Caenorhabditis elegans: one gene and its partners. The protein of the gene in region 4 interacts with the protein of the main gene of each other region in a pairwise test. Each region holds a gene or a part of one and is shown on either strand. Other genes may lie near its edges.

Evidence for each region.
Region 1: the proteins of ing-3 (region 4) and egl-13 interact in a two-hybrid assay, tested with the Caenorhabditis elegans proteins (one large-scale study listed by BioGRID).
Region 2: the proteins of ing-3 (region 4) and dro-1 interact in a two-hybrid assay, tested with the Caenorhabditis elegans proteins (one large-scale study listed by BioGRID).
Region 3: the proteins of ing-3 (region 4) and T10B5.10 interact in a two-hybrid assay, tested with the Caenorhabditis elegans proteins (one large-scale study listed by BioGRID).

The regions. Positions count from the first base shown.
Region 1 is NC_003284.9:5,660,580-5,667,868, forward strand, and holds the start of egl-13 (Transcription factor egl-13), read left to right. Parts: upstream 1-3,257; 5' UTR 3,258-3,331; intron 3,332-3,785; exon of another isoform or gene 3,786-3,925; intron 3,926-5,908; exon of another isoform or gene 5,909-6,101; intron 6,102-7,269; exon of another isoform or gene 7,270-7,289.
Region 2 is NC_003281.10:13,339,412-13,345,222, forward strand, and holds dro-1 (Protein Dr1), read left to right. Parts: upstream 1-3,272; coding exon 3,273-3,689; intron 3,690-3,771; coding exon 3,772-3,909; 3' UTR 3,910-4,196; coding exon of another isoform or gene 4,197-4,251; 3' UTR 4,252-4,301; downstream 4,302-5,811. Other genes in the region: F53A2.3 (Phosphoprotein), read right to left, coding at 268-349; nud-1 (Nuclear migration protein nudC), read left to right, coding at 2,119-2,222, 2,270-3,128; ife-1 (eIF-4F 25 kDa subunit), read left to right, coding at 4,197-4,251, 4,413-4,878, 4,925-5,099; acaa-2 (3-ketoacyl-CoA thiolase, mitochondrial), read left to right, coding at 5,548-5,560, 5,631-5,783.
Region 3 is NC_003283.11:1,850,785-1,859,495, reverse strand, and holds T10B5.10 (BED-type domain-containing protein), read left to right. Parts: upstream 1-3,219; 5' UTR 3,220-3,237; coding exon 3,238-3,345; intron 3,346-3,652; exon of another isoform or gene 3,653-3,715; intron 3,716-3,777; coding exon 3,778-3,907; intron 3,908-3,951; coding exon 3,952-4,034; intron 4,035-5,935; coding exon 5,936-6,103; intron 6,104-6,163; coding exon 6,164-6,247; intron 6,248-6,299; coding exon 6,300-6,488; intron 6,489-6,551; coding exon 6,552-6,761; 3' UTR 6,762-7,103; downstream 7,104-8,711.
Region 4 is NC_003280.10:13,873,236-13,883,799, reverse strand, and holds ing-3 (Inhibitor of growth protein), read right to left. Parts: upstream 7,767-10,564; 5' UTR 7,739-7,766; coding exon 7,711-7,738; intron 7,645-7,710; coding exon 7,573-7,644; intron 7,520-7,572; coding exon 7,416-7,519; intron 6,031-7,415; coding exon 5,506-6,030; intron 4,374-5,505; coding exon 3,759-4,373; intron 1,665-3,758; coding exon 1,536-1,664; 3' UTR 1,215-1,535; downstream 1-1,214. Other genes in the region: hda-10 (Histone deacetylase domain-containing protein), read right to left, coding at 338-466, 965-1,087; ndub-8 (NADH dehydrogenase [ubiquinone] 1 beta subcomplex subunit 8, mitochondrial), read right to left, coding at 8,582-8,783, 10,453-10,564.

The DNA of each region.
Region 1 (7,289 bases), on a different chromosome or scaffold from region 4:
ACACTGCGGATTTGAGAGTAATCCAGCATTCCAGGTGCTACCGCGAATGATAACATTTTTCTTAAATAATGATAACTAGAATGATAACATTTTTCTTAAATATAAAAACCTCATCAATTTCAAAAGTTACTGTTGAAAGGTAATCATTAATTTTGGACTATATAATTCCAAATTTTAAATATCAAAATGATTCCAAACACACAACATTTCCAACTTTGCATCCTAAAACTCACCGAACATACCAGTTTTCAAAACATTTGTATCAAACTAATAGCAACTGTTTGCGCTTCCGCTTTCTATACTGTCTATTCATGTTTTACGCTGTAAACTGCTGAAATACCTCCCAATTCTTGTACTTTTCTGTCTTCGTTGACCAATTGCGCTTATCTTCAAATCAGTTCCAACACTTATTTGTTTCTTATGTACGGTAACTTTTTTTTTCTTTCGAGCCACCTGCATCCCTAAGTTTTAGCCCTTTAATGTCCAGATAAGTGTTATCCTGTACGACAACTTAAAAAAAGGATCAGATAAAATATAGTGGTATCTTGAAGTCTCTATAAATCTATTGTCTCTATTAGTTTTTAAGACGCTTCTTTCGATCGGTTGCGCCATCAGCATGCCATTCAGGAAAGGAGGAAGAAGCAAGTTCTCTAAATCTCTTTTCGGCTATTTTTTTCTAGAGTGCCGCACGGGTACCATCACCAATCGACGCCGCCGTCGTCGGTACCCAGTTCACCTCTTCATTTGGCTTTTCTCCGCGTGTGTTTTTTGTCTATTCATTCCAGTCGCGCTAATCGTCATCTCCAAATACAGTTATATGCCATCCGTACGGTAGTGACCAGTGGCAAATCAAATCAAACAGGTTCCGAGTGTCAATAATAAAGACGATGAATGAGGGAGAAATGAGGAGATGGTGGGGGGAGGCAAAAAGGCAAATCGCAAATTATTTTGACACTACCTCCTGTGTTTGTATGCATTTGCCGCAATGGTCATCCGCTTTTGCGTAACACGGGTACAATGGGCGGCAAAATTGAGAAGGAAAAGCAGGCAAAAGAAGGCAAAGCCGGCCTTTCTCAGGGAAAGAAATAGATTAACCGGTGGGAGGCAAATGAACAAGCATGGATTTTTTCGGATCTGCATACATACAAGGTCTACCTATGGGTGTGGCGCTGAATATATATCTTTTGTACTCCGATTGATGGAGTTTCAGCGATTTGGGTCACTGCCACCGATTTGGCCAATGGTACTTGAAACATACTAGCTGTTGATGTAGTAATGAACTTTGTAATAGGTACCTTCCAACTAAATTTGATTTATAGTGTGTTCCTTACTAATGAATATAACAATCTCTTCTGCTAACATCGAGCATTTTCATGCTCCAAGACAGTTCACCATAACCCTAGAGCTGTTGTTAAAAGTTTTTCATTTTACATTTGTGGTATTTCATTAGCATTATAGGCTCTTATATCCTCTAGACTCATAGCCAAACTAGCACAACCTGTAAAAAAATTGGTAAGTTCTGATTTTTGGAGTAAAAACCTTAAAAGTATGTTCTTTTTGAGTTATGAATGTCATAAATCTTGAATTTATCAGGGAGCGATAATTTTGCCAGCTATGAGACATAAGAAAAACCTCCAATAGTAATTTTTCATATCAACTTGTAAGAACATAAACATTAGTCACATCACGCGTTGTGCAACAGTATTTGAGTTTGCTTAGAAAATCGGAATACTAAATGTCTCAATCTCAAATTCAAGTTCAAGCATAGATCTAAAATTTTAACATTTCGATGTGTTTTTTCAGTTCTTGTGTTTTTAACAATTCTAAATATGCAAACCTATTTAATTTACCTAGTTATTCAGGGTGGTTAATAACTGTGTAAGTTCACTTGTTTTAATATCTCGTTCCAAAAACAGAAACGTTGAGTTACTGCAAAGTGGTCGCCATAATTATGGGCGACTCTGTATATTCTTGAACTAGAAAACCGTATCTTTACGGTTTCATTTGTGATAGCCTTTTGACCTTATTTTATATAGACTTATATAAGAGTTCGTATACTCTAGGATTTTGTTGTATGTAGTAACTAAGATTTTTTTTAATATTCCAAGTTCCTAGATGTCATAACCTCTCACTATAGTTAGAACTTTTTGGCCTACTTAAAATTTCTAGGCTATATTGAAATACAATTTCAGTGTGTTTCAATATTCTTTACTGTCAAAAGCTAAAATGTCCACCTAAAATACATTATGATTGATTCCCGTCCTCGTATTGCGATGCCCTCTTAGTCTATCATAAATGCATTTCCGAATCTTCGAAACGAGGTTGAGTAGGTGCATTGTGTCAACTAAAAGAAACATTATGGAATTGTTGCAAGTGGTTCTCGACCTATTACCATTTCGCGTTCTTTGGAAAACTTTTGCGCCATTGGTCAACACATCCAGTTCTGAAGAAGCGCGGGTCCCCACCGTGTCTCTCCGACAACACACCACCACCACCCACTTTGCAGAGAAGAGGGCACAGTGTGTAACTTATTGTGAGACGATTCAGAGGACAAACAAATTGCGTGGTCAGTTTTGTTTTCAGGTGGGGTGGTCACTCTCTTTCATTCTCTTCATTGTGTGATGGAACACAACTACCTTGAACCACTTGTCTGATACCAGTTCCCTCTTCCAATCACCTAGACAACCAATACCAGCTTTTTCCTGTTTTCTCCCTCTCTCTTCTTCTCTTGGTTCAAAGTTTGTTGTCTGAAATTGCCAGTTCAATTGGGTCACCATGTCTGAAACTAGTGACCAATGAAATTTCGTGAACAGTCCAAAACAAAAAATTAATACCATAGGCTTCCTTGTGGGACAACTAGTTATATTTTCTGTTTGACTACTGAACTTATGTTTCTCTAAGTGTTGCTTTCTACTTTCAACCAAACATTTTTTTTCTCATTTTTCCATTTTGCCCCCATCTTTTATTCACTTGAACCTTTTCTCTTTTCTTTTTCTTCTTACCCTCAAAGGACAAATCGTGAGACTATCCTCAATTGAAGAAAAGGAATTTCTGATATATATCTGTGCAATATCTTTGTTCTCCTTCATAATTCACAATTCATTCAGCGCGTGTGAATCGTTTGAATTAATAATGCCACTGAACTCAAATAATCGGCCTTTTTAAGTTTCTCTAGTTTCAATTTCTAACGCTTTTGATTCTTCTTTTTCAATGTTTTCTTCAGGCTTGAATTTACAAACGCAAATTTAAAATTCCAGACACTCCAAATAAAATCAATACTCCATAATACTGCTGGATCAGTAACAACAATCTCCCGAATGGCTCTATAGTGGTGAGTAAGAACTAGTTTCCGTTCTAGTTTCTACTGTGCCATGCTCTTTCCCCTTTTAATGTTGTGAGCACTGTTTTGCTTTTTCATTGAAATAACAAAACAAGTAGAACAAGTATTTGCACCAGCAAGCATCTGGTAAGTATTCTCTTCCTCACCAACTTTACTTTTCTCACACTTTTGCCTATATTTGCGCATTTGGAGCAAGAGCAACACTTCCAGATTTGGTGACAGATTTCAAAGAATTATTACTTTGTCTAGTCTTATTTTCTCCTTGTCGTGTGCCGTTGTTGATCATAATAATAGTAGGCCAAATCGCCGCACCCGTCACTGCTCATGATCCCTTTAATATCCTAGCTAACTCCGAGTTTATCATCATGTGCCTCCTATGGGCACTGCCAATTCCATAAATAATTGTTTTTTCTTCTTTTCTATCTATCCTTTGTGTTATCCTTCTTCTTCCATACTTTACCTTATCAAATATTCATGTATTCTTGACAGACTGTAAGGGATAATTGGAGATCTCGATGATGAATTATCCTTGCTCTTGTGTTTGCAGTTTTGGTAGGGTGTATATGTCAATTATTTCTTTTGAATACTCTATTGAGAATCTATTGAAACCATACTCTATTCAGCTTGAGCTTCAAGGGAGAAACATGCGAGTGATCATTGACATACTTGATTGTAGTTAAAAACCGCATTTTCCGTATTAAACTTGCACCCCAATGGATTTACCTCGTATATCAGTCTTCTTAAGTTTTACCAAAAAATTATTTACTGTTGAAATGTACAAAAACATTTTGCACATAATTTGCCAACCGAGATAGAAGCTGTCAAAGTAAAGCAATGAGAGTACAAGACTAATACATTACAACTAACGTCTATATCATCCCTTTTCTAATCTGGGAGTTTGGTGCTTCCAAATTATTTTCAGAAAAAAACGTCAGCACAGTTTGATAGCAAATGCTGCAAAGGATATGCTCCCCCAGTTTTATGATGATACCTGAAAATTAAGTAAAAATTTTGTAAAAAAAACATTCATCCAACTTCTATAGCACTCATCGGATTTTTTGACAGGGGCCAGTTCTCGGCTCCTCATAATTTTCTCGTTTATTGTTAAAATTTCGAACTAAACTTTGAGATATAAGTTGTGAAAATCAAGGACCATAGGTTTTCAACATTTTCTATTGAACTGTACTAACACCTTTTCAAAAAATATTTTCAAAAACACCAAACTCTCAAATTAGTGGGGTGGTGCTATAGACGTTGGGCACACTGTAGAGAAATATTTGGTGGTATATTAGGTCTCCAAATAAGTTCCGGGTCAAAAGTCATAACTTTGTTCGCTGCGTATCGATTTTTATGAAACTTTGGGAATTCATGTTATCAACTATGATCTTTCATTTGACAATAGTCACAAAATTTTTTGACCACCCCAAGTGCCCTAACTCGGAACCAATTTTTTCAGGCATTTTTCTGATCTCGCTTCTTTTCAAATTTCAATTGAGGTTCATGGTTACATCATTTTTGTAGGAAAAATCTAGAATTTTCGACAAAAAATTTTTTTGAAGATTTTTTGACGACCAACCAAAAAAAATTTTTTTGGACGGATTTTTTCAAAACTTTTGTTGTTTTCTAATAATGTATTCTAAACAAAGAAAAATCCGCACACAACCCTCAATTCAAAGCTGAAAATAAGCGAGATCAGAAAAATGCCTGAAAAAATTGGCTCCGAGTTAGGACACTTGGGGCGGTCAAAAAATTTCGTGACTATTGTTAAATGAAAGATTATAGTTGATAACATAAATTCCCAGAGTTTCATGAAAATCGATACACAGCGAACAAAGTTATGATTTTTGACCCAGAACTTATTTGGAGACCTAATATATTTGATTTACCTTTTTTTGAAATCTTTCTTATTTGTTGTGCATGAGACTTAACTTTTTTTTCATAAACTTATCACACAACAATTCTTCGCAAAACACTACAATCGAACATCATTCCTGCTCATCAAACATCTGCGCTGTCCCACTGTCCCAGTGTCTCATCGCTCGTCAAGCCTATCAACATTTTTTGTCCCAAACTAAAAGTGCAATGAGAGCTCCATTGTATTGCACGAAAAGTTTCTCAGTTTCTCAAAAAGTGTGACATCGAGAGAAAAAGAGCACCGTTGTTTCGAGGTTCAGCCGCCACAAGAGCCAGTTGTCACCGGCGCCCCGGATACACGGAACAAAGCCATGAGACGTATGTTCTATTAGGTGTTCAACTATTGCTAACCTGTCACCTGCCCCGACATTATTTGATTATCTATTGTCTCGTTAATTGATGGTAAGTAGAGTGTGTGACACCTTGAGAAACGATTCCACAAATATCACCATTTTGAACGTGTTGAAAATATCCGTCGAACTAACGTTTGTACTCGTAGTATCACTTTTTCCTATCCGTTTTTCGTGTTTGAAATCTTTGATAGGAAGATAAGACACAGGGAACCCCGAGCTCTTGATGGAACAATGCCTGCCAAGATGTTTGTCAATTGTTGCATCTTCCTGGAAGACGACAAAAGTTCCCCCGTTTTTCATCTTTTCGTCCCACTCTCATACGAATCTTGAACAGAAATTGTTGCGAAAATTTTTTCTTTCAAAAACTGACCTCAAATCAGCGGAAGGAGTCACTTGTCACACTTGTTCTTCTTTTATATATCACACTTAATAACACCTATCTTTTGTTGTCAAACCAAAACGGAGCTCTTGTAATATTCAATATTGAACGAACATTATGCCCTTTCCCATTTGACAAATAGGCCTTGATCCATCCTGCTCTAGACTATAATCGGCTTAACCAGGCCTTGCTCATAGATTTCGATTCTTAGCCCCTGTTTCCTCCATCCCCACAACAACAAGTTATCCAAGGGCAACATCGATGAATTGTGGAATTTGATACTAACGGTCCCGCGGGAAGGTGAAATTGAAGTATTTGAATTATTGTTTAATGCAAAAAGATCAAAGGTTCTAATGTTCTCGTAAGAAATGTTGTATCAAAAGAAACCCATCACCATTGATGTATACATCTTAACAAGGACCGAGTGCACATTTTCCCACAAAACCATTTTCTCAGCTTTTCGAGAAGAAAAGAGACAAATTAGGTGTGTAGAGAATGGTATTGTTGTGAATCGATTAGTCATAGATTGCTTTTTTTGGTCGGCCGTTTCACCCTTTCTTGGCCATTACTAATTGTAAAAGGGTCTTTGACCATTATTAAAACTGGAATACAACTAGAAAAGTTTAAAGCACTACTGACCGAAAATAGTTTTACCATCCATGCAAACTAGTACTACAAAATAGGCTCCCTAAATATTAGAATACTATATAAATGTTTTGGTATTGAAAACCGCTTTCTGGAAACTTCAATGAGTAACTTAAAAGTAATCGTGATAACTAATTCATTATCACCTCTATCATTTCTATCTTTTCTTGAATCCACAAAACGCTATTCGACACCTGCTGTCCATTGCTTACTTACATTTCAAAGCACTTGTTTGCGTGTGCAAGCCTCATGAATAAAAGCATATTGAGACATCCGGTAGACAGGTATACGGTAGGCTGATGAATGCTCAGGGGGAGTCCATCATAACCACCAGCAAAATTTCTTCTTGTCTTGTGAAGCTCCTAAATTGTGCCATCTTTCCTGGCCCCGTATTTCATAATTGTTTGAATTTGTTATAGCAACATCTGTGTGAAATGAATCGCATGTTGACCTGCCTTAAGACTAATGACTCGTATCGCGATGAGCTACGAGAACGATTATGCGAATTTATAATCACAGGTGGTCCCAGTCGAAAAACTCTCCCTCTCTTTAATAAAAGTATAGAATTGGGAAATTGATGTGCATGCAATGTAACATGTAATACATGTATGTACAATTCTTATATTCCGATTTTCTTCGAGTCTTTGAAATGACAAAT
Region 2 (5,811 bases), on a different chromosome or scaffold from region 4:
TTGGAATTTTTCTGGTTAAAATTTGTTTAATTTTTTTTTGGCAAAAAAGGATTTTTTTTTGTTTTTTAAGCAAAAAAGGAGTTTGTGGTTTTTTTGACAAAAAACTATTTTTTTTTTTTGGTTTTTTGCCAAAAGATTTCTTGCTAAAAATAAAATTATTTGGTATATTTTGTTCATTTGACAGGAATTAATTTTTTAATTTAAAAAAATGAACATCATTTTTTTGAGATTCGCTATTAAAAATTAAAATATACAAAAAAAACCAACCGTAATTCAATGAATTATTCAAAGTTTCTTTGCACTCCTCCAACTTTGCCAAAACGTCCAGAATAGTTTCTCGGGAAGCCATTGTCTCCTAAAAAATAGGTTAAGTATTATTATGAAACTGTATATAATTCCAGTAAAATCTATGATATTTTATTTTTGAGCAATATGTAGAAAAATGCACCTCTGCTAAACTAAACATTAAACATAAACTAAACGAACATTATCATTGAATATCGAAAAAGTGTATTCAATTTTTTCAGATATTACAATTTTCAACTACAACCGGACCATGTGGAAATTTGCGCGGAAAGAAAAGGAGAATGTGTCCCGCAGGGGTAAGAGTCATTGGTTTCGTTGAAATCACGTTGAGTGGGTGTACCATCTGTTGGGGAAATTCTCTCCCCCTGGTCCGGTTCTGACATAATCTAGATTTTTCGAGAAAATCAAGTTTCAGTACATACTAAATTTAAAAAAGAAGCTAATAAATTAATGAGAAACTATGCAATCAGCTTTTTAAATAGTCTATCGAAAACGGTTTACTGGTGTTTTCTTTCTTCTGTTTTTCAATATTCTATTACATTAAATGTTCCTATAAACTAATATTACATAGACGTTTTGAAAATGGAGAAATTCGCCATACTTGACGCGCAAGGTCTCGCAGTGAATGCTCTTTCTCTCCGTCTCTTCGCCACATACTCTCTCACTGCCGCACCGCTTTTTTTTCAATAAAACAGGGTAAATTTAGTGAATTGATTTGAAACTCTATCTGTATTTAAAATAATAATAATTATTATTAAATTATTATTAAAAAAAGTGTGTCAACATCTATTTTAATTATGTTAACTACTAAACATAAATAAAATGCGTATTTTTTTGCAAGAAAGAAAAAAAGGCCGCGTAAAAAGGGAGACACAAATAGTGTTCTAACTAGATTCTCAACGCGATGCGTAGTCTAATATGAACGCAGACATACAAACAAAAACGAGAGGTGACCTCGTTTCCAATCTAATTAGCCATGCTAGCGTGTACTGAAGTGTCGAACGTCTAATTAGAAAAAAGCAATTAAGCATACGTAATGGCTTTTCTGTCTTTTTTGGAATAATTTGTAAATGGAAAAGTGAACTTAATCAATATTTAAGTTGGATTTATTATCAATAGAAAGTTTCAAAATGGAAAAGGTCTCGAAAAATCCAATTTCTAAGCGTGTGCATTTTTCTCTTTGATTAGCACCATCTGTTCTTCAATTAGACCCGTTTTTCTCTTTAACGGGAGAAATAGTAATGCACTAGGTAACTTATTGCTTTTTTTTTCTGAAAATTACTTTGAATTCAAATTTGAATTTTTAAATTTCAAATCAAACTACTGTAGCATCGAGTTTCGCGTCAGCACGAGAGTTGCGCCAGTCGCCGCGCCAAGGCGCCTAGAAAAAACGGCGCTCGCAATTTATTTTCAATTTTACACATTTTCTCTCCTAATTTATCGATTTTGCGGGATTTCGCACAGATTTTCTTTGATTTTTCAACTATTCTCATTGTCCCAGAAATATAATTGAGCATTATGAGCCACCTGCTTTCCCCAGGCACTTGCAGTATCCATGGGAACATGGCGAAAATAGGATTTACCAGAAATTTCGAAATAACTCAATTTTTCTAGTGATATTTGTCAAAATAAATGGTTTTCTAGTTTGTAAAATAAGTTTTTAACTAGATTAAGTAGAATTTGTCCTGTAATTATTGCGAAATAACTATGTTTCTTGATTTTAGGCTCTATTTTCAATAATTCCGGATTTCCTAATGTTTTTCTTCGTTTTGGAAGTAGTTTTTATTAATTAATATATTTAAATTTCAGAAAATGTCTCAATATGAGCGATTCGACTCGGTGCTGCTCTCCATGGCCCAACAGCTGAGCGGCGGAGTGCCTGAAATGCTTGATGTACTATTTGAATTTCTTTCGAGGTAAGAAATTTTTTCAAAGTGCTTAATAAATACATGTTTTGTTTCAGAAAGACGGATTTCTACAGTGGCGCTGGTGTCGATCAAGCCCGGACCCTTCTCCTCGAAAAATTCGATAAACACGGTGGAAAGGCTATGAAGGAAGCTGAAGAAGCCAAGAAACGGAAGGAAGAGCAGGAGAGGAAGCTTGCTGAACGAAGAGCTGCACAAAAAGCTAAGGAAGAGGAAGAGTTCCGAAATGCGAAAGTCGTGGAAGTCACTGATGAGGAAGCGGCCGCGTTTGAAAAGGAACAGGCTAAAAATTCTGTTGAAAATCTTGAAAAATTCGTCGATAACGAAGGAGAAACATCGAAAGACGCTGAAGTCGAAGATGAGGACAGTAAGCTCATGAAACCAAATAGTGGAAATGGTGCGGATCTTGCCAAATATCAATGGACTCAAACACTCCAAGAACTCGAGGTGAAGATTCCAATTGCTGCTGGATTTGCTATCAAATCTCGTGACGTTGTCGTCAAAATAGAGAAGACTTCAGTATCTGTCGGCCTGAAGAATCAAGCTCCGATTGTCGATGGAAAGTTGCCTCACGCCATTAAAGTAGAAAATTGCAACTGGGTAATCGAAAACGGGAAAGCGATTGTCCTAACTCTCGAGAAGATCAATGATATGGAATGGTGGAATCGATTCCTTGATTCCGATCCTCCAATCAATACTAAGGAAGTGAAGCCAGAGAACTCGAAATTGAGCGACTTGGATGGAGAGACACGTGCCATGGTCGAAAAGATGATGTATGATCAGAGGCAGAAGGAGATGGGTCTTCCAACGTCTGATGAGAAGAAAAAGCATGATATGCTGCAACAGTTCATGAAACAGCATCCTGAAATGGACTTCAGCAATGCTAAAATTGGATAATTCTGTGAATTTTGTGAGATTTGTTCCGAAAATATTATATTTATATTCGCATAAATGTACTCAGTTTGATATTAATTTTATTTCATCTTTAAACTTTTAATAATGTATTTCTCATTCCTTATATCTCTTTTAGATCCCTTAAAAATGCAGTGCTTCAACACAATTTTCAGACTCTTCACAGATATGGATGAGGACAATGAAATCGGACTTCCACAGAAAGGTATCAACCAAATTATCAAAGAAGTTGTTCCTGAAATGCGAATCGCCAACGAGTCGAGAGATATGATCAATGCTTGCTGCGTTGAGTTCGTGAAGCATATTGCGAGAGAAGCACAACGAATTGCGAGCCAGGATCAGAGAAAAACAATATATCACGAACATGTTCAGAAGGCACTGCAGAATTTAGGATTCACACCAGATTATCTCGAGGCCGCCGACAGTGTTCTCGATGCCTGCAAGGTTGAAGCCGAGAAGAAGCTGCGAAGGAAGAACTCTCGTCTTGAAAAATGTGGTATTCCAGAGGAAAAATTGTACGAAATGCAACAAGAATTAATTCAGAAGGTAATTTTTTGAGGTTTTCAAAAATAATTTTGTTTTTATAAAACAAACACTCATTTCCTCAATGTTAATATTTATTTTACAGGCACGCCAACAAGAAATTGAGCAGCAGCTTGCTCACCAACAAGCACAAGCCGCGGCGGTAGCAGCCGCAAACGCACAAATGTTTGGAGGACCATCAGAGGGCTCTTTGGCTCCAACCGACGATGACTACGACAACTAGATTGTTTTTCTTCGCTTTTTTTTTCTACGGGTTCTCATTTTATTTCTTCATTTGTGTATTTACCTTGATTCATCATCGATAATTTCTAAATCTCTTTTTAAAATTGTTGTACTATATTCCACCATTTCCTATTTTCCCCGTGAATTTTTTTACTGACCCGCTCCATATTTCAATGGCACGTCATTTAGGGCACGATTAGTTGGCGTTTTCCCCAGTTGTTCTCGGCTTCTCAGATCAGTCCTGTTTTTGCCTTGCCAGTTGTCGAGGTGCGAAAATTTTAAGCGCAAATGTCAGATTCTGAAATAGCATTTGAGAAGCTGAAAATCTCTGGGGAGAAAGAAGGTGAGCCATTCCCTTTTTCATTATCGTTTGAGTACTATAAATTATTCACAAAAAAACTGTTTCTCGCCGTTTTGCATCACTTTTTTGGTTCCACGTGCCCATTTTTATTTGCATTCATTTATTCTCTCTGTTTACTGATTTTACTAATCGAGTTCTTCCAGGTATGACTGAAACGGAGCAAACGACGGCACCCATTTATCCGCTGAAGCGTAACTGGACGTGGTGGTATTTGAACGATGAGCGCAACAAGTCTTGGGAGGATCGTCTGAAGAAGGTGTACACCTTCAACACCGTCTCGGAGTTCTGGGCTCTCTACGATGCTATCCGTCCACCAAGTGGCCTCAACGCGTTGTGCGATTACAACGTTTTCCGTGACGATATTCAGCCGATGTGGGAGGTTCCGGAAAACTCGAACGGAGGACGCTGGCTCATCGTCATTGACAAGGGAAAGACTCCCGAAATGGTCGATGCTATTTGGCTGGAGATTCTCATGGCTTTGGTCGGCGAGCAATTCGGAAAGGACATGGAGTCGATTTGTGGGTTGGTGTGCAACGTCAGAGGAAAAGGATCGAAGATCAGCGTCTGGACTAAGGATTGCAACGATGATGAAACCAACATGAGGATTGGGTATGCATGTCTATTTTTAATTCTATCTTGAATTTTGGAATTTCAGAGTTGTGCTGAAGGAGAAGCTGATGGCCGCATCCAAGGACCACTCAAAGCCACTGTTCGATGTGATCCGCTACGAAGATCATGAGAGCTGCCAGAAGAAGACCAGCTCGGTTGTGAAAGCCAAGCTTTCATTGCACTCGTCCGATGCTCCAGTCGCCGAGAAATCCGCCGTCTAAAGCAGACCATTTTGTATCTGCTCTACTTGTTTTTTAATTACACCCGTTGCTTGGCTAGTATTTCACTCGTTGTTTTGTGATTGGTTTAATAAAATTGATGAAAATTAATTGTATTATATTGCCTTGTGGTTTCCAGGCCCAATTTTGTATCTTATTGTAGTGTAGAATGTAGCCTTTAGGTCAGAGAACAAGTAGCGGGAATGATGATAAAAAAGACACCGCGAAAGTCGGCCATTCTGCTTCTTTTTCGTCTCTGCGTCTCTTCTCTACCTATCTTATCGGCCCAACAAACAACCGAAAAACTTTATTTTTGTTCAAAAGCCCCTCTCAAAATAATTATGCAGTTTTCTAAATGCCCTTTTTTTTAGGTTTTTTCACCTCTTCCTAATAATTTGTTACTACTTATAAGAACGTTTTTATTTACAGAACCACACAAATACACTGCAAAATGGCAGGAAAATGTGAGTGGGGGTCAAAGTCCATGGTCGTTGTACTAATAAGTGATCAGTGATGTTTATATTATGTCTGCAGGTGTGTTCATCGTCGGTGCCAAGCGTACAGCATTCGGAACTTTTGGTGGAAAGCTGAAAGGATTGAGTGCAACTGATTTGGGAGTCGTCGCTTCTCAAGCAGCGCTGAAGCACGCTAATGTTGGAGCAGATGCCGTCGATCATGTCATCTTTGGTAGAAAGATTTTATTTTTAGAATGATT
Region 3 (8,711 bases), on a different chromosome or scaffold from region 4:
TTTTCGGAGATATTGGATTTATCGAATTGCTAATTGTTTAATTTCCGCTTTTCTGGACACTTTTTTACTTGGATTTTAAATTTTTTGGGGGTTCTCCCTTGCTTGAATGTAGGACCTACTATGCTTTTTTTATTTAAAAAAATATTTAAAATTTTTGAAAAAAATTCCAAAAAATTTTTTTTTTGAAAATGTTTTTTTGACTATTTATTGCGATTTTTTAGGTGAAAAAACTCAGAATTTCAAATTTTTTTCACAATATGAACACACGTTTTGCCAGAGTGTCCCATCTTTGGTTTGATCCACAAGAATCGCGGGAATATAGACGCAGACTTCTCAACTGATTTTGCATATGCTGACGTCATTTTTGTGGAAAAAATTCCCGAATTTTTTGTAGATCAAACCGTAATGGGACAGGCACCATGCCACCACGTGTGATATTTTTTTTTAATTAGGAAAATTATGACAAAAATTCTGAAAAAACCCCCCATTTTTTTCTAGATTTTCGGAAAAAATTCCATGCAAATTCCTGAACAACCATGATGTGGGCGGAGCCTATTTTGAGATTTCTGAATTAAAAAAAAATTCGCATAGATCTGAAATATTCTACGGTTAGCACAAGTTTCAGATCTGTGTGAAAGTTTAGAAAAATTTCAGAAAAAAAAATCGTAAAATAGGCTCCGCCCACATCTTGGATATTTGGTTATTTTCATTTAAAAAAAGTTTTCCATAATTTCAAAATTATGTTTTACAAAAACTTTCTCTAAAATATTCAATTTTAAATTTCCAAAAAAAAATCGAAAACATTTTTTTTTCAAATTTTTGAAAAATAAAGAGAAATGGACCAAGAAATGGGCGGGGTCTATTTTGAAATTGTTATGATTTTTTAAAATATTAAAAATTAAAAATTCTGAAAATTTTCTTCCAACCCCTGACATAGGCTCCGCCCCCTTCTCCCAAGAAAAGCGACCTTCTTCGCCTCGCTCCCACTTTCCAAAAATATCGGATTTCATAAATTTTTAGGACTAAATTTTTATATTTCCGATTTGAATTTTTCCCGGTCTTTTTTTTGTTTTATATGTTAGCTGACCAAATTTCTTCAACAAAAAGTTTTCAAAAAAGTTTTCAAAAAAAAGTTCGGCGCCCTTAAAAACGAGGAACAAACTTCTTTTTTTTTCAGTAAATTTCAATTTCAAATTTCAATATTTCAGTGACATTCGTCGGGTTTAAGTATAGCCGTCAAAATGCATATGATTTATGTGTAAAGCTTGAAATTTTCACTTTTTCCGTTTGGTTTCACTTTTTTCGATAATTACGAATAGGTGAATGATTGACTAAAAAACATCAATTTCAAATAATTTTCAGTCTGAAATTTGTATATAAAGCTTCCTTTAAACCAATCTCTACTAGGCTCCGCCCATTTCTTGGTTGAAAATTTTTTTCTGAACGATTTTGCCTTGCAAAACACTATACGAAATTTGAAATAATTTCATTTTTCAATTTAAATACACTTACACATTAACAGAAAAAGTTTGTTGACCTGCCTACCTGCCTACAACTTCACACTGTAGTTTCATGGTAGGCAGGCATATGCCTACGAGGTAAGGTCACAAATTTCTTGCTTCCCTCATAAATTGAAATGGAAGAGTTTGCCGAACTAGGCTATTTTGGCTCGGCCATATCTGGGGTAGATTTACGGCGCGTTGCGGCTCGATTCTAGTTGTAAAACTAAATGTATTTGTCCGTGTGGAGTACACGACTTTCCGACGCGTTGTCTGGCAGGCGATTGTCAATGGAGCGCGAAAAATTCAATAAGGAAGGCCAGAACCCCGTGAAAGGTTATGCTTGCCTGCCTACTATTTTGAGCTACTACGAGTAAAATAGGTGATTTATAGTGTACTTTTACCTAGTACTGTGAAACTATCCAAAAATTCCTTCTCAATTTTTTTTCTGAATCACCTTTATTTTTAAAAAAATATGATTCATATATATTTCTTCTTTCTCAAATTTATTTTACCTCAAAAATATCACTGCTTGAGACAAGGTCACTTTCTGCCAAAAAATCAAGCAGAAGCATGCAATCTCAAGGTTACGAAAAATTCAAATTTCCCTTTCCAGAAGCTTCGAGTAACAAAATTTCAAAACGAAAAAATTTATGCAAATTTCTCCCAAAAATCGTGTGAAATTTATGCTTTCTTCGCCTTCCCCCCTACCCGGCCGTTTTTCATTTTCGCATCCCATTTTTCGCGTAAATTCGTAAATTCCTGAATTCCGCCTGCAGGCAATTTGCCCTCCCCTGACCAAAAGCAAAAGCAATTCAATTCGAAATTCACAATTCAAAAATCCCATCCTAAAAACTTTGGAAGGGGTGCGCGCGTTCCGCCTCTCTTTCACCCCCACTCCCCCACCACAGGACGAAAAAATCTTTTTGTGAATTTGAGTGTAGGCATGCGGGTTTTTGGAAAAAAAACTAGTTTTTAAATATGATTGTGAACCTGGAAATTTCCAAATATACTTTTAATTTTTTGATTCAAAAATGGTTAGAGTTGTGTTACGCTAAATTGACGTAAATCAGAATATGAATAGGCCTGGATTGTGGCAATTTAAGCCAAAGCCTGAGAATAAGCCTAAAACTACGCCTAATCCTAAGCCTGAACCTAAGCCTATGCCTCAGATTAAGCTCAATCTGAAGCTTCAGTCTAAGCATAAGCCTAAGCCTAGGCCAAAGCCTAAGAATAAGACTGAGCCTAAGCCTAAGCCTGAGCATAAGCTTTAACTCAAATCTAAGCTTAAGCCTAAGCCCAAACATAAGCCTAAGCTCAAAATAAATCTCAAACTCAAGTCTAAGATTAGGCCTAAGCCTAAGCCTAAATCCGAGCGTTTTTGTTAAGTCCTACACTAAACATATGTAGAATAACCAGAAATCATGCTAGAACCACACCAAAAATAACAAATACACTGTGTTTCGGCGACAATTTTCGGAACAAAAAATGGGGTCAGCTTTCGATTTCCGTCCCCCTTTCTACCCCCTACTTCTATTTTAGTATGCAGTACATACAAACTTGGATGACTTTTTTTGTGGATTTTTGATTTTACTTTTGTTTTGTTATTTTCTGCAAATTTGCTCCATTGATAAGCATTGAGCAGGCTTGCAAACTTTTTAAAAATGGTTTAAAACTAATATCGCTCACTGTTCCTAAGTTCATCAACCCTCTCTCTTCTAGCTTTCAATTCACAAAAATGTTGACAACAACTACAGTTTTCCCGGAGAGTGTGATGAGGACGGGCCTAGCCCCGGCACCGAATATTCCGAACCCAAGAAATGCAGGAAGGAAAAAGAGCAATCCGGTGAGTCATTTTATTTTTTTAGGATAATGATAGCGGTAAAACCAGTAATTATAGGCTATGATCTAAGAATATAGTCCAGAGATAATCCTGAGCCCAAGTCAAAGCCAAAGCCGAAGCCGAAGCCTATGCCTAAGCCTGAGACTCAACCTAAGTCTGAGCTCGAGCCTAAGCCTAAACCTAAGTGTGAGTCTAAGCCTAAGCCTGAGCCTAAGCTGTAGCCTAACCTAAGCCTAAATAGCGTCGAGCTCACGCTCGCCACTGACGCCAAGCCCAAGCTTAAGCCTTAGCCTAAACCTAAACCTGACCCTAAGCCTAAGCCTAAGGCTAGCCCTAAACCTAAGCCTGAGCCTAAGCCTAAGCCTAAGCCTACCTAAAAAAAGAATTTACGATACGACCTCAGGCCTACTCACAGCAACTTAAATTAAATTTCAGGTTTGGGAGTTTTTCACCGACCTCCGAACTCATGGCCTGGCAGGTGTCCGCTGCAGATTTTGCCACTGGGTGACTAACGACAGATCGCCTACAACTATGAAATTTCACTTGAAACGGAAACATGACACAGGTTGGCTTAATAAATTCACAACGGGTTCCAAAAATGTATTCTAGGACCCGGAGGACTTTGGGCGATATGTGAGGAGAAAATCAACTCACAGGCTCCAGCGAACTATGCTCCGCGAGTCAAGAAACAGGTGAGATTCTAGATCAAAACCAGTTTTCCACCCAGTCACCCAAAGTCAGATGTCTGTCAAAAATTCGTGTGTTACCCAATTGCAAAAACCATATCTGTTTCGCTACTGCGTCTCTCAAATTTCCTGCAATTTTCTAGGTAGAAAACATGTTTGAAAAGCGAATAGTAGTGACCTAGAAATCACCGAAATTCGCATTAATTTTTACAATTCTTTTCCGCGCGCCCGCACGCGTGGGGCGCCTGCGGAAGACACAATGGTGGGGGTAAGAGACGCAGACAGATTTTAGGAACGTTTTGCAAAGTAGCTTTTACATATTGAATATATGTATGTATATAAATGCGAATTCTAAAAAAGAAGAAATCCAGTTTTTTTTTTCGTCGCGGGGCGAAGCTTGGTTGTGTCCAATTTTCGACATGGATTGGAATGTTTAAACTGGACATGGTTGAACGGAAAAGCAAAACAATTTTACTTTTTTTTTGAAAGGAAAAATCTTCAAAATATTTAAAATGCTTTTTGAAGTTTAAAGGGAAATCTAGGAAATATAAATTGCAGCTTTTTTTAAACTTTGACTTGGAGTTTTCTGTCTTGAATTTTGGAACATAATCTACCTACAGTAGTCTCACAGTACTTTTCAAAAACTTTTTTTTCGACAACCATTTACGAGATTTTCTTCGAGTAAATTTATATTGGAAAACCGGCAAATTGCGAATTTGCTGGAATTTTCTGCAAATTGTGGTTTCGCACTTTTTTGGAAGTTTCAGTATTTCAATTTTAATTGCAAAATTGTACGCATCCTATTAATGTTCCTACAGCTATTTTGAAAAGCAAACACATTCTATGAAAATATCTAAAGAAAACAGAAAAAGGTTCCAAAAGGCCCAGTTTTAAGTGTTTCCGTCTTATAAAAATCCCTCTAAAACTTTTGGCAAGTTGATTTTGGCAAACGGCAAATCGGCAGATTGACGGAAATGAAAGTTTCCGGCAAATCAGCAAACCGGCAACTTGACAATTTTTGTAGACAAAAAATTGGTCGAACGGCAATTGCCGACCACCCCTGATTTACAATACCTTAACTACAAAAATTTAACTGCCACTGAGAATACAGTAATCTTAGTCTACGACGTAGACTCTACGTCTGGGTAAACTTACAGTAACCCAATAATAAGACTACAGTAATCCTACCTCAACCCTATTTCAAGACACAAGTACAGTACAGTAGCTATACAAATACTATTTATCAAAATTACAGTAATCTTACAAAAACCAGTAATTTGGCAGTAACCACTGAGTATATTTTAAAAATCTACAGTAACCCTACAGTAACCCAATAATAAGTCGACAGAAATTCTACTTTAATCCTATTTCAAGACACAAGTACACTACAGTAGCTATAAAAATACAAAACATCAGCCCTAGGATAATATTTATCAAAAGTACAGTAATCCTACAAAAACCAGTAATTTGGCAGTAACCATTGAGTATATTTTAAAAATCTACAGTAACCCTACAGTAACCCAATAATAAGTCTACAGTAATCCTGCAAAAACTGGTAACTTTACAGTAACTCTGCAGTAACCTTTTCTTATAGTAATTTAAGTTATCCTACAATGCAAACATCTTACAATAGCCCTGCACTACACTCCAATTAATTATTTTCACGTGGTGTCAGAGTGTCTCATTTCGGCCTGATCTACGTAAATCTACAAAAAATGCGGGAGAAGAGACGCAGAGTTCTCAACTGATTTCGTATGGTTAAAAGCGTGCTGAAGTCACATATTTTTGGGCAAAAAATTTCCCCATTTTTTGTAGATCAAACCGTGATGGGACAAACTTAGTTTTTTTTTAATTCTGAAAAGCGACGAAACCATATCTTAGACAGAAAAAAACTGTAATATTTTCAGCCCGAAGATCTGCTCCTCAAAGCCCTCTCCCAACCGTCACCCTTCTCGTTCAACCCCTTTGCCACCGCAGAGATCAAGCTCGGAGCCCAAGATGACTTCCTGGCGGCTCTAATCCAACAAGCCTCGCAGTACGCCAATTCCAGCACATCCCCATCGGCCAATTCGAATGTAAGTTTGCCTAGGTGCCTAGGCACACAAGACGGGCGCTTAAAATTAATTATCTTCCAGGAAGGAAACGCATCTAATGAAAACGAGAGTCTCACCAGCGATTCGGTATTTCTTAGCAAATTGAACAGCACCTATCAGAATATTGTGAGTCAGAATACTAAAAGAAGCAGCCGACATTTCACTACCCAAATTCCAGAAAGAAGAAGATTCCTCCTCCTCGTCAGTCAGTGGAAGCACCTCGACATCCACGTCATCAGCAGAATTCCATCTGAATGATGGGACAAGCATCGCCGCGCTGCTACAAATCGCCACAGATTCTGACTTGGTATTCACATTTAATGCGAGAAAAATGGGCGAATATTGCTTTGAGAGTAATTTAAAAAATGTAAGTTAAGAATTTGCAAGAGAATTATTTTCGGCCAAAATCACAGAAATCAAAAAATTCCAGCAAAAAATGGTAACCCTAACCGATTGCGGTAACGAAATCCGAGTCACTCAGCTGGAAAACGACGAGGAGACCCGCGTAGAAATGTGGAGGAAAAGCGACTGGCAGCAGTTCACTTGGGCGGTGCGGGGCTCTTGTCTCCATTTTTTGAAGGGTTGCTCCGAAGCACCTTTGATAAAGATAGAAGATGTGATGAATCTTGTTGAAGGTTGAAGGATTAAAAAAGTAATCCCAACGCTACCAGTTCCATACTCTTTGTCATTCCAATCGATTTCTCTAACTTCCTCCCAGTGCTATTTTCACCCCAGTTTCCCTTCATAATGATCACTTACTGGCCCAAATTGGCGTCTTTCAATTCAATTTTTTCCAAAACTTTTTGAATTTTTCCTCATTTATTTATTGGCTGACGGGTTTTTCTATTTATTAATTTTTATCTTTTTTTAAATTTTTCCCTTGACATTCTATCATAATTTAAAAAAAGAATAAATAATTCCCGTGTGACGAAAAAAAAACAACTTCCAACAAGAAATAAAGTTCAAATCAATTATTTCTAAATTATTTTCACAAAATGAACTACTTCTTCCATCCAGGAACGTTGCCAGGTAATCAATGTTTCAGATGGCGCCTGTGAGATGTCGGCTGCTGGCTGAGGGCAGCCGACATCTCGGCTCCTGTGAAGTGCCCGCTGCTACGCTAGTTTTGAGAAAAAAGTGCCAACAGCAGCCGACGTCTCGTGGCTGAGAACCTTTCAAAGTGCCTGCGGGGAACTTTTTTTGAAAAAATTTGAAAAACGCAGCAGTTATTTTCAAATTAAAATGATTTCTAATGGGAACCGGGGATGTGTAGCATTTTTCCGGGAAACGCAAAAATTACTTATTTCATACATGATAATCGAACTTTTTTCAGCTAAAATTAATGAAGACATGTAGTAAAAAGATTTGTACTATCTGAAAATAATATTTATTTTTGGTGAAAATATTCAAAAAGCCTCAAATAGTGCCTGAAAGTTGTCGTTTGCCAAAAAATTATCGGCACTTTTTCGGCAAACAGCAACTTTCAGGCACTATTTGAGACTTATTTCTTGGAGCTTTTCGACAAAAATAAATATTATTTTCAGATAGAAAAAAACATTTTTCTACATTTCGATATTAATTTTCGATGATAAAAGTTGGATTATCATGTATGAAATATACAGTTTTGTGCGTTTGCCGAAAAAAATGCCGCACAGCCTTGATGGGACTTTATGGGGCACCCGACCTTATAGGTTATAATAAGACTCCAGTAGAATAGCACCTGTGATAAGTCGGCTGATACTTTTAATTTCAAAATTTAAAACTTTTAAATTGGCTGACGTGTTTTCCTATTTATTGATTTTTATTCATTTTTTCCCCGTGACATTATAGTTTATAAAAGAATAAATAATTCCCGTGTGACGAAAAAAACAAACAACTTCCAACAAGAAATAAAGTTCAAATCAATTATTTCCAAATTATTTTCACAAAATGAACTACTTCTTCCATCCAGGAACGTTGCCAGGTAATCAATGTTTCAGATTGCGCCGGTGAGATGTCGGTTGCTGGCCGAAAACAGCCGACATCTCGGCTCCTGTGAAGTGTCCGCTGCTACGCTAGTTAAAAAAAACGCCGAGAGCAGCTGACTTGTGGTCCACAAGCCTTTTTTAAAAGCATTTTTTGAGTCCAGTAGAATACCACCAGTGAAGTGTCGCCTGCTACTTTTAAATTTTGCGTATTGCGAACCAGCAAAGTGTCCGCTGCCAGACAATATTCAAAATCACTTCCATTTTTTGCAGCGTATTTCCGGAAAAAGCCCGAGAAGAAGACTAATGAGTGTTCGCACAAAAAATTCACAGTGGAAAAAGCCAGATGGAGAGATGTAAAAAGAAAATACGACAGATGGATCGAAAAGGACAGGCAAAAGAAAGCTGGAATCAATGTGAGCAAAGGCGTGACTCCAGAAGACAAAAAGCTTGCGAGAGAAGCCCGAAAAGAGCAGAAGAAGCACGTGAAGGCCAGAAAGCTGAGGAAACGACAGAGAAGACACCGAATTTTCAGACGCATTCGCGCATCGAAACGTGCAAAGACGGAGGTGATTGCAAAAGGTCAGATGAAGCCAGAGGACATCCGGGAGAGACTTGCCTACTTG
Region 4 (10,564 bases):
AAACTATTAATGAGAAAAAGTAAAAATTTTGAAAAAAAAAAAACTAGATTCCCAGAAAAAAAAATTAAAAAAGGGTCTGAAAATTTTTATTTTTTCGAATTTTTCAAAAGAAAAATTATTTTAAAAAATTACATAATTTTTTTTACCTCGAACCTCTGTTATTGTATGTTATTGTAAACTGTAAATTGTGAAAAAAAAACAAGATTTCCAGAAAAAGTTGAAAAAAAAATTTTGAAATAATTTTTTTTTCGAATTTTTCAAAAAAAAATTTTTTTTTTGAAAAATCAGTTTTTTAGTGCACAATTTTCTTCCAATTTTTTCCGGCTAAAATCCTGACCACAGTCATCGTTTCTGTCGATTTAACGTCATCCACATATCGTTTCGTGTGTACCGCCAAAATTTCCGATTCTTCCGCTTCCCGGCGGGGAATGTGCTCAATTCGGGGGTCGGTGAGCAGTTTTGTGGTCTGGAAATGAAAATTTGGGGGGTTTTTTTTTTGTTGTAAAATATGAAAACTTTTCTTCTTTATCATTAAAAAATCATTTTTTTTGCGAAAAATTCGATAAAAAATGTTATTTTAAAATAAAATTGTTTTAATTACGAAACAGCATTTTTTTTCTGAGAAATTCCTTTTTTTTTTAAATAAAATTTTTTTAATTCAAAATTCTTAATTTTTTTTTGAAAAATTCGAAAAAAGCGGTTTTTTAATTAGAAATATAAGGTTTTTTGTTGAAAAATTCCAAAACTTCAGAAATTTCAATTTCAAAAAAATTGCACATTTTTTTGAAATTTTCTCAAAAAAATTCAAAATTTCAGTCTTTTTTTTCCGAGGTTTTCTTTGAAATATGCAAATATTTGTATTTTTCATTTTTATTGGAAAATAGTTGTGCTTGTTATTTTAATTTATTTTTTTTCCGGCTTTTCCCCCTAAAAATCCAAATTTTTTGCTCATTTCCCCCCATACATTAAGCCTCTCCAAAATCGCATCAAGCCTCCTCGGAACTTCAATATGATATGATGGCCATGGCTGATCGTGTCGTTGCTCCTGATGATCGAAAATCACAAAAACTTTCTTTTCTGCAGCCATCGAAAACTCTAAAAACTTCTTAAAATCTGGAAAAAAATGGAAAAAATGCCTATAAAAAAAATACAAATCAGAGTAAAAAAACAAGTGGCATGCAATTTCAAAAAAAAAATCCAAAAAAAAAAATCTTAAAAATTATCGAGTTCATCCTTATTAAAACTTTTTAGGGTATATTGTACAAGAGAATAATGCAGGAGAAATTTGAGAATCATGGGACATCATAACATGGGGGGGAATATATAAAATAGTGTGCAAAATAAAATTAATTGGAATTTTTACAATTGTTTTTTTGGGGTATTTAAAAATATTTTTAAAAAAAATGTGAGAGAGCATCAGAGTCTTTGGGGAAAATTTCAGATAAAAATGTTTTAAAAAAATTGGGAAAATTTCAGGCCAATCATTATTATTATTATTATTAAATTATCGTTGATGGGGAGTCATAATATTTATATTAGACTTCTCCCTCTTCGGACAGCTTGAGAGCAATTCCCATCGTAACTTCACACCGCGGACAGTACCATTTTCCAGTCGGAGGCTCGACCATTCCAATGCACGGGTAATGGAACCAGCGGAGGGTGCACTGCAAATGAAATGGGATTAATTAGAAATTTAAAAAATTCTAGCAACTTTACTAATTTCCAAATTTTTGTAGCTATTTTTTTAATCTAGGTTGAAACTTACTGATATTTTTGTGGTTTTTATTACTTTTTTTATTTTCCAACAAAAAAAAACAAACAAACAAATCTACCATTTTCCCATAATTTTTTCCAAAATTTCAACAAAAAATTCTAATCTAAATTTAAAAAACATATAGCTACAAAAGTGCTATAAAAAATTTACATTTCAACCAAAAATCTTATAAACTGAATTTTCATCGAGACCATCACCAAAAAACTAATTTTTGACCAAATTGAGTGCGAAAAATCGAATTTCCATCAAGAATATTATAAAACATTTTGTTTTCTTCGAAAAAATTAGAATTTTCCAGGCAAATTCTATTTTTTGTAGTTTTTGATGAAAATTCAACTTTTTTTAAATATATTTGTGTGGCGGAAATTTACTTTTTTGCATTACTTTTCGAAGAAAACAAAATGTTTTATAATATTTTTGATGGAAATTCGATTTTTCGCACTCAATTTGGTCAAAAATTAGTTTTTTGGTGGTGATGGTCTCGATGAAAATTCAGTTTATCAGATTTTTGGTAGAAATGTTTTTTAAATTTAGATATTAGAATTTTTTGTTGAAATTTTCAGACTTTCTGTATTTTGTTTTAAAGGTTTTTGGTGTAAATTTCAGATGGATGGATGTAATTTGTAATATTTGTGGAAAAAAACTGAGTTTTCACCGAAAACAGTGCGAAAAATGAAATTTCCACATTGTAATTATTTTAAACAATTTTTTAAAAATCATGTTTTCGTGTTTTATGTTTTTTTGTGTTTGTTTCCATTTAATTTTTCTAATTTTTGAAATACTTACAGTGGAAATTCAATTTAATTTTCGAAATCTAAATTTTTCGTATTATTTCAGTTGCTTTTGTAATTCAAGAGCATGTTTTTGTGGAAAATCAATTTTTAAAAATATTTTTCTGATGAAATTTTAATTTTTCGGGATTTTTTTAAAATGAAAATTCTATTTTTTTTGTAAAATTTTTTGATAATAATACCAACAAAAAATCGAATTTTCACCAAAAATATAGCAAAGTTTTGCAATTTTTAGGTGGAAATTAATTTTTTCGCTCAACTATTTCGAATTTTTGTAACACATTTTTTGGTAAAACCGTTGAAAACGCAGAAATTTTGTTGATTTTAGCCTAAAAATAATATAAATTGCAACTTTTTCCAATTTTTTGGTGAAAATTCAATTTTTCTGAATGTTCGTGAAATTTTTCGATAAAAATGTAAAAAAAAGCAAAATTTTGCATTTTCTGGTAGAAATTATTATATATTTTTCGCAATTTTTTGGTGAAAACTTCATTTTTGTGATTTTTTCCAAGGAAACACTCTATTTAACAATTTTTAAGCATTTTGTTGTGGTAGAAATTCAAATTAAAAAAAAAATAATTTTCGGTTAAAAATTAACTTTTTTCGTACTATTTTTGAAACAAAAATTTAATTTTCGGTGCATTATTTCTGATTTCACTTTTTAAACTCAATTTTTGGTGGAAATTTGAATTTTTTGTACAATTTTCCATGAAAAAATATGAATTTTCATCAAAAATTACGAATTATTGATTTTGTGCTGGAAATTTGAATTTTTCGCTCAATTTTCGATTTTTTGAATGGAAATTTTTTTTTTTTTTTTTAATAAGATCTTTGATAATCTTTGACTAACCAAAAAAGTGAATTTTCACCGCAAATATAGCAACATGATTTTGCAATTTTCAGGTAGAAATTATATATTTTTCGCACTGTTTTCTCGTGTGAAAATCCAAATTTTTTGATTTTTTGAATGGATGGAAACTCAATTTTTCGCACTATTCGAAGAAAAAAAAACAGTAATTTTCTGCATTATTTCTGATGAAAATTCACATTTTTTAATCAATTTTTGGTAATAAAAAACAACAAAAAAAAATCTAATTTTTTTTTCGCACTATTTCTGCTGGGAATTTGAATTTTTCGCTCAATTTTCGGAGAAAAATTCAATTTTTCCCTTCATTAAAAAAGCCCACACTAACATGACGATTATCACACTGAACCATATCTCCATAGCTCTTCTCATTACAAAAACACCAATGCATCTCATCCTCCTCATCCTCCGATCCCGGAGCCATCATCGGATGGCTCCGCTTAATCCGATAACTCGGTCCTTCCTCATCATCATCCTCGGCGGCTCCTTCAATCTCCGGAAGTGGTGATTGTGGTGAAGAGCTCGTCGGAGCGTGAGCGTGCTGAGCCGCCGCCGCCAGATTCGCCGCACTCATTCTCTCCTGTAGTGCTATAATTGAATTTCCATGATTCCGCTGCCGCTGTAGAGTCTCCTTAAACATCTCCTGAACTCTACTGGTCAGCTTCCGAGTTCTACCATGACGGCTCTCAGACACCACAAACGCCGAATTCTGGAGAACTGGAGTCGTCGGCGAAACGACGATATGCGGTCCTGAGGAGAACGTCGGTGTCATCAGTAGGCTTGTCGTCGGCGTCGGTGATGATTCGTCGATTCCGGCGTTTGACCAACTACGTTCGGAGGGATTCGGTGAGAAGCGGGATGTCGATTCACCACGATTCATCATTGATGAAAGAGCACTTGGAATGGAGACTGTGCCGCGGAGAGCATTTGTGTTTGAGCGGCGCTGAAATTTGGAGAAATTAGAGAATTTTTAGTTTTTTCACTCCAAAAACGACTGATTTTCGTGAAAATAATGGCGGTTAGGCTGAAAAATCAGCCTATTTAACGGTTCGGACGATTTGGAACGTATAGACCCAAATTTTGTGCTCAAATGAACGAATTTCATACTGAAATTGCTCAAAAATTCTTCAAAAATGTTTTATGGCGCTTCAAAATTTCGAAAACTTACACTGATTTGAGTTAAAATCTCGAATTTTGGTCATTTTTCCGTGTCTCGGCTGTCCGAAGTTGGCTTTTTTTGGAAATATCATTCTTGATTGCATATATTGGTTTTAATATCTCATTTAATTTCGTTTATTAAGGTCTGTTTAAAGCCTATAGGCGACCAATTTTAATGATTTTTGGTTACCTATTGGCTTTAAATTTACCATAATCAATGAAATTAAATGAGATAAACTACCAAAATATGCAATGAAGGATGATAATTCCAAAAAAAACCAACTTCCTACAGCTGTGACACGGAAAAATGACCAAAATTCGAGATTTTAGCTAAAATCAGTGTCATTTTCGAAATTTTGAACCGCCATAAATACATTTTCGAGCAGTTTCATTACGAAATTCGTTCATTTGAGCACAAAATTTGGGTCAATAAACCGTTAGTCCTCCTGTAAATAGGCTGATTTTCCAGAAAATCATGGCGGTTTGGCTTAAAAATTAGTCAGTAAAGAGCCAAATTTCGTTTAATTTTGAAAATTCGAAACAAAAAGTTAATTTTTAGCTGAAAACGGTCCAAAATGACCCAAAAACGGCCAATTTTCGTAAATTTTATTAAAAAATGTGGCGGTTAGGCTAAAAAAATAGTTGAAAAGAGACGAATTACGCTAAAACTCGAAATTTCGTCAAATTTTTCTTGTAACAACACCCAAAAAACGGGAAAATTTTATCAATTTTGTGAGGTTTTTGTACGATCAAATTTTGCGGATTTTAGGCTGAAATTCAAAAATGTTTGAAAAATATTATTTGAAAATTCAAAATTTAGCTAAAATTCGAAATTTCGCCAGTTCTTTGAACAGGAGGCCGTGGTAGGTGGGCTCCAAATTTTGCGAATTTTCTCGAATTTTCAGCTAGCTCCTCACCCTAGCCGTCGGTGTTGGTGGCACTGGCGTCAGACAATCATCACTGGCCACCACCATCGCCGCCGACGACAGCAACAGCTGATCCTTTGCGATCTTTGGCGGGCGCCCACGTGGCGCTGGTGATGGTATAGCCGATGATAGTGCCGATTGTGCCGACTCATCGGAAAGATCCATTCGAAGACGAACACCTTCCTGAAGGATCCGCTGAATTTTGTCCTTTGATTCTTTCGATAAAAGTGGTCCCGAAGCGACTGTCGATGCTCTCGACGACGATCCTCCACCACCACCACCACCGCCCACGCGATGACGACGTTTTCGTTCTTTTCTCGCTGTGAGCAGAGATTCGACGTGTTGGGTATATCGTTTTTCGATCATTTCGGTCACTCCTGAATTGTCGGCCTCCATTTCACACTGGAACGTGGTTTTCTCCTTTTCCAAGTGAACTTTGTACTTTTTGAGGAGTTCTTGCATTTTTTCGGCGATTAGATATTTGCGTTGAGCTAGCACGCGGATTGTGGAGAATTCCTGAAGAAAATTGGTTGCAATTTTTTGGGTTTTTTCAATTTTTTTTTTGTGAAAAAGCAAATTTTTGAACTTTTTTTTTCATTTTTTAAGAGAAATTTTGCCATTTTTCAGCTATTTTTGTGATAAAAACTTTTTTTTGAGCTTATTCAACGTTTTAACGAGAAATTTTGAAAAAATGGTTGAATTCTAAAATTTTTATTGAAAAAAAAAAGCAAATTTTTGAGCTTTTTTTTACTTTTTAAAGAGAAATTCTGAAAAATTGGTTGATTTTATGATTTTTCGGGGGTTTCGACTTTTTTTTTGTTGTGAAAACAGCTAATTTTTTTTTATAATTTCGGCATTTCCTTCACTTTCAACGCGAGAAAATCTGGAAAATTGGCATTTTGGGATTTTTAAGCTTTTTTTTTTTTTAAAAGCTAATTTTTCAGCTTTTTTTTTAAAGAGAAATTAGAAAAATTGGCTGATTTTTTGGGATTATAAGGTAGTTTTGGGGGAGAAAGCTTTTAAAATTAATAGAAAATGCAAATTTAGGGTTTTTTTCCAAGAATTTCGGCAAAATTGGTTGTATTTTGAGATTTTGAAAGTTTTTTTTAGAAAACCACGAAAAAAAAATTAGAAAATGCAAATGTAAATGTTTTTTCCCAAAAATTAGTTGAATTTTCAATTTTTTTTCGTGAAAAAAGCTAAATTTTCAGCTTTTTTTTCACTTTTTAACAAGAAATTCCGAAAAATTGTCTGAATTTTGCGATTTTTTGTCCTGTTTTTTAAAAAAGATTTTCAGTGAAAAAAGGAATTTTTTCGACCGTTTTTTTCCGAGAAATTCTGAAAAATTAGCGGAATTTTGGGATTTTTTCGCGGAAAAATGCTCATTTTTTGAAAATTTCGGTATTTCCTTTATTTTTAGCGGAAAATTTTGAAAAATTGGATGCATTTTGAGATTTATAAGCGTTTTGGGCTAATTTTTGCGTTTTTAAGCTATTTTTGTGAAGAAAAAGCTTCAAAAAACGATCAAAAACGACAAAATTCTAATTTTAGGTTTTTTTCCGAAAAGGTTACAACTTGGTCGGATCTTGAGCAACTTTTTGAGTTTTTCGACCTCATTTTAGTGTTTTTAGACGTCATTCACTTTGAGTATTTTTGAGCACTTTTGGTGTTTTGTGGGAAAAAAAAGCTTAAAAAGTGAAAAAATGACATCAGGCAAAGTACAAAAAAATCCCATTTTTTCTCATTTTTCTTCACGAAAAAGCTAGAAAAACGGGTTTTATAGCGAAATTTCTCATTTTTCACGAATTTTAGCCGTTTTTGTGGCAAAAATCAACTTTTTCCTGCGTTTTCGTGTCAATTTGCTGCCAAATTCGAGTTCCAGGAATTTTCATGAAATTCACCTCCTGCAAAACCTTGCAGCGCTCCTTTCTCTGCTCCTCGGGCATATTTACGCCGGTTCTCTCGAAAAAATCGTTGATCGCCTCTCGATTACGGTTTAGACGGGCTAAAAATTCGAAAAAATGAAGGGAAAAATTCAGAAAAATTTCGAAATTTTACATTCAACTTCATTGTCGATTCGCCGAATTTCATCGCTTCTCTCCTTCAGCTCGGCAGGCAGCTCATCGAGCACTGGAAAACGTTGAAAATTTGGGTGTTTTTATAGGGGAAAAGTTTGCAACAAAAAAAACCACTTACTTTCTAAAAAATCATCGAGGAAGAGCATTTTGTGCGGGGGCGTCCAGCGCCGAGTTCTGAATTTTTTTTCCAAATAATTAATTAATTAAAAGTGGAGTAGCGTAGCGCCAGTGGGAAAATTGCTTTAAAACACGCCAAATTCAAAAAAAAATTTCTAAATTTTATATGATTTTTTGAAAATTGAAAAAATCTCAGTTTTTACCCCTAATTCCTATTTGAATTTCCGCCAATTGAACTCGTTCGTTGGAGCGCCGCGCTTGCACGTTTCTAAATTTATTTATTTTTTGTTATTTTCCACCGATTTTTAATGTTTTCGGTGTATTTTTGCTTGAATTTTAGAGAAAAAGTCGAAATAAATGCAAATTTTCGAATAAAAACCATGCGTACAGACCGAAATCAGTGAAATTAATTAATTTTGTCATTTTTACGCCTGTAAGCGTGCTTTTTAATCGAAATTTAGCATTTATTTTGACTTTTTCTCTAAAATTCATGTAAAAATACACCGAAAACTAAAAAAAATTGAAAATCGGTGGAAAATAACAAAAAATAAAATAAATAAACTTAAAAACGTGCAAGCGCGCTCCATCGAACAAATCCAATTAGCGGTAATTCAAATAGGAATTAGGGGTGAAAACTGAGACTTTTTCAATTTTCAAAAAATCATATAAAATTTAGGAATTTTTTTTTCAATTAGGCGCAATTTTAAGCAACAAAAAAAACGAATTAATAGGTATAAAAGCGTTAAAAACGCTGAAAAAAGGGCAAAAAAAAGGCAAAAAAAAAAATGATAAAATTCGAATATTTTATAGTACAAAAAAGGAGAAAACGGAGAAAACTACCAAAAAAAAAACAACCGAAACTAAGGAATTTTCTATTCCAAATCAAACGAATAGTTGACAATTGGGTATTTGCGTGGATCGTCGAACGGGTAGGCACGGTAGAAATCGTATGAATACTGCTTCGGCATTGCCGGATTCTTCCAACGGAGCGCGTTCGGATGTTCGTTGGTAAAGTACCAGGCGAGGAGAGCCATCGGTACGAGCACGCGGAGGCACATAACGATCGAGTTCCAGCTGAAAATTGGATAAATTAATTAGAAAAAAAAAACAAAAAAAAACAGCCTAAAAATCCGAAAATTAAAAAAAAATCGCAAAATTTAGAAAATCCACATTTTTTTCACCGAAAATACTAAAAATCGCTGCAAAAATTCAAGAAAATCCGAGAGATACGAAATCGATAAAATCGGTAGATTTTTTCGCTAAAAATCGGTGAAAACCCGTAATAAGAGGCAAGAAAATCAGTAAATAATTTGAAAAATGTCAAAAAAATTTCCAGGAAATCGAACGAAAATTCTCAATTTAGTGAAAAAATCTCAGAAAATCAACTGAAAAATCCTTTAAAAAATTTAAAAAACCTGTGGAAAATCCGACGAGAAATTCAAAAAAAATCAATGAAATTTCAGGAAAATCAAAAAAAATTCGTCATTTTTTTAGCCAAAATACGAGAAATTCCTCTTTTTTTCAAAAAATTATGAAAAAAACTGCCTAAAAATACGAAAATCCACTTTTTTAAGGGAAAAAATTCGGAGTTTTATCAGAAAATCGGGGAAAATTATGAAAAACTTAAGTTTTAGGGCGAAATTACCCGAAAAATCTGCGAATTTTCGGATTTTTATCAGAAAATTGGACTAAAATTCGCATTTTTCAGCGAAAAATTCGCTTTTTTATTAGAAAATCGGAGAAAATAATGAAAAAAAAACTGGCTGAAAATCAGAAATTCCGAATTTTTACCTAAAAATAGTGAAAAATTATGGAAAAAACTGCCCAAAAACCCATAAAATACACATTTTTCAGCGAAATTACCCAAAATCTGTGCAAAAAATCAATTCAAAATTCACGGACTACGAGACCCATTTTTTTTTCAAAAACAGGAACAAGATATGTCAAATATCCAGAGCCAGTGAGCATTTTTCGTGAAAATTGGAAAAAAAAACCCTGAAAATTTCAATAATTCCGGTTTTTAGTCAGAAAATCGTGAAAAATTTTGAAAAACTGCCTAAAAATCAGAAAATTCAACAAAATTTCGCATTTTTTAAGCGAACAATTATGAAAAAACTGCCTAAAAATCCAAAAACTCAATAAAATTACCCATTTTTTAAGCGAAAAATACCGATTTTCATTGAAAAAAAATTGTGAAAAATTATGAAAAAATGCCTGAAAATCAGAAAATCCGCAGTTTTTTCAGCAAAAAAAAAATCAAAAACATTTTTCTTTCTGAAAAATTTTTCTGAAAATATGAAAAAAAAACCGCCTAAAAATTTGAAAATTAAGCGAAAAGTTATGAAAAAACTGCCTAAAAATCGAAAAATTCAATAAAATTGCCCATCTTTTAAGCGAAAAATTCCGATTTTCATCAAAAAATCATGAAAAAATTATGAAAAAAACTGCCTAAAAATCAGAAAATTCATTGAAATTTCGCATTTTTCATCAAAAAATCGTGAAAAATTATGAGAAAACTGCCTAAAAATCCGAAAATCCGCAGTTTTTCAGCAAAAAAAATCAAAAACATTTTTCTTTCTGAAAATATGAAAAAAAACCGCCTAAAAATTTGAAAATTAAGCGAAAAATTATGAAAAAACTGCCTAAAAATCGAAAAATTCAATAAAATTGCTATTTTTTGCACAATTTCTGGCCATTTGTCTCGAAATTTTTCATTTTTATAGCATTTTTCTCCTCCACCTACGTGGTGTAATCTTCCGCCTCGAGGCCTGTAAACGTGAGACGATCGCCTCGATAGCGCATCATATCGATCGGCACGAGCTCTCCCCAATTCCGGCGATTCTGCCGATCGGTCC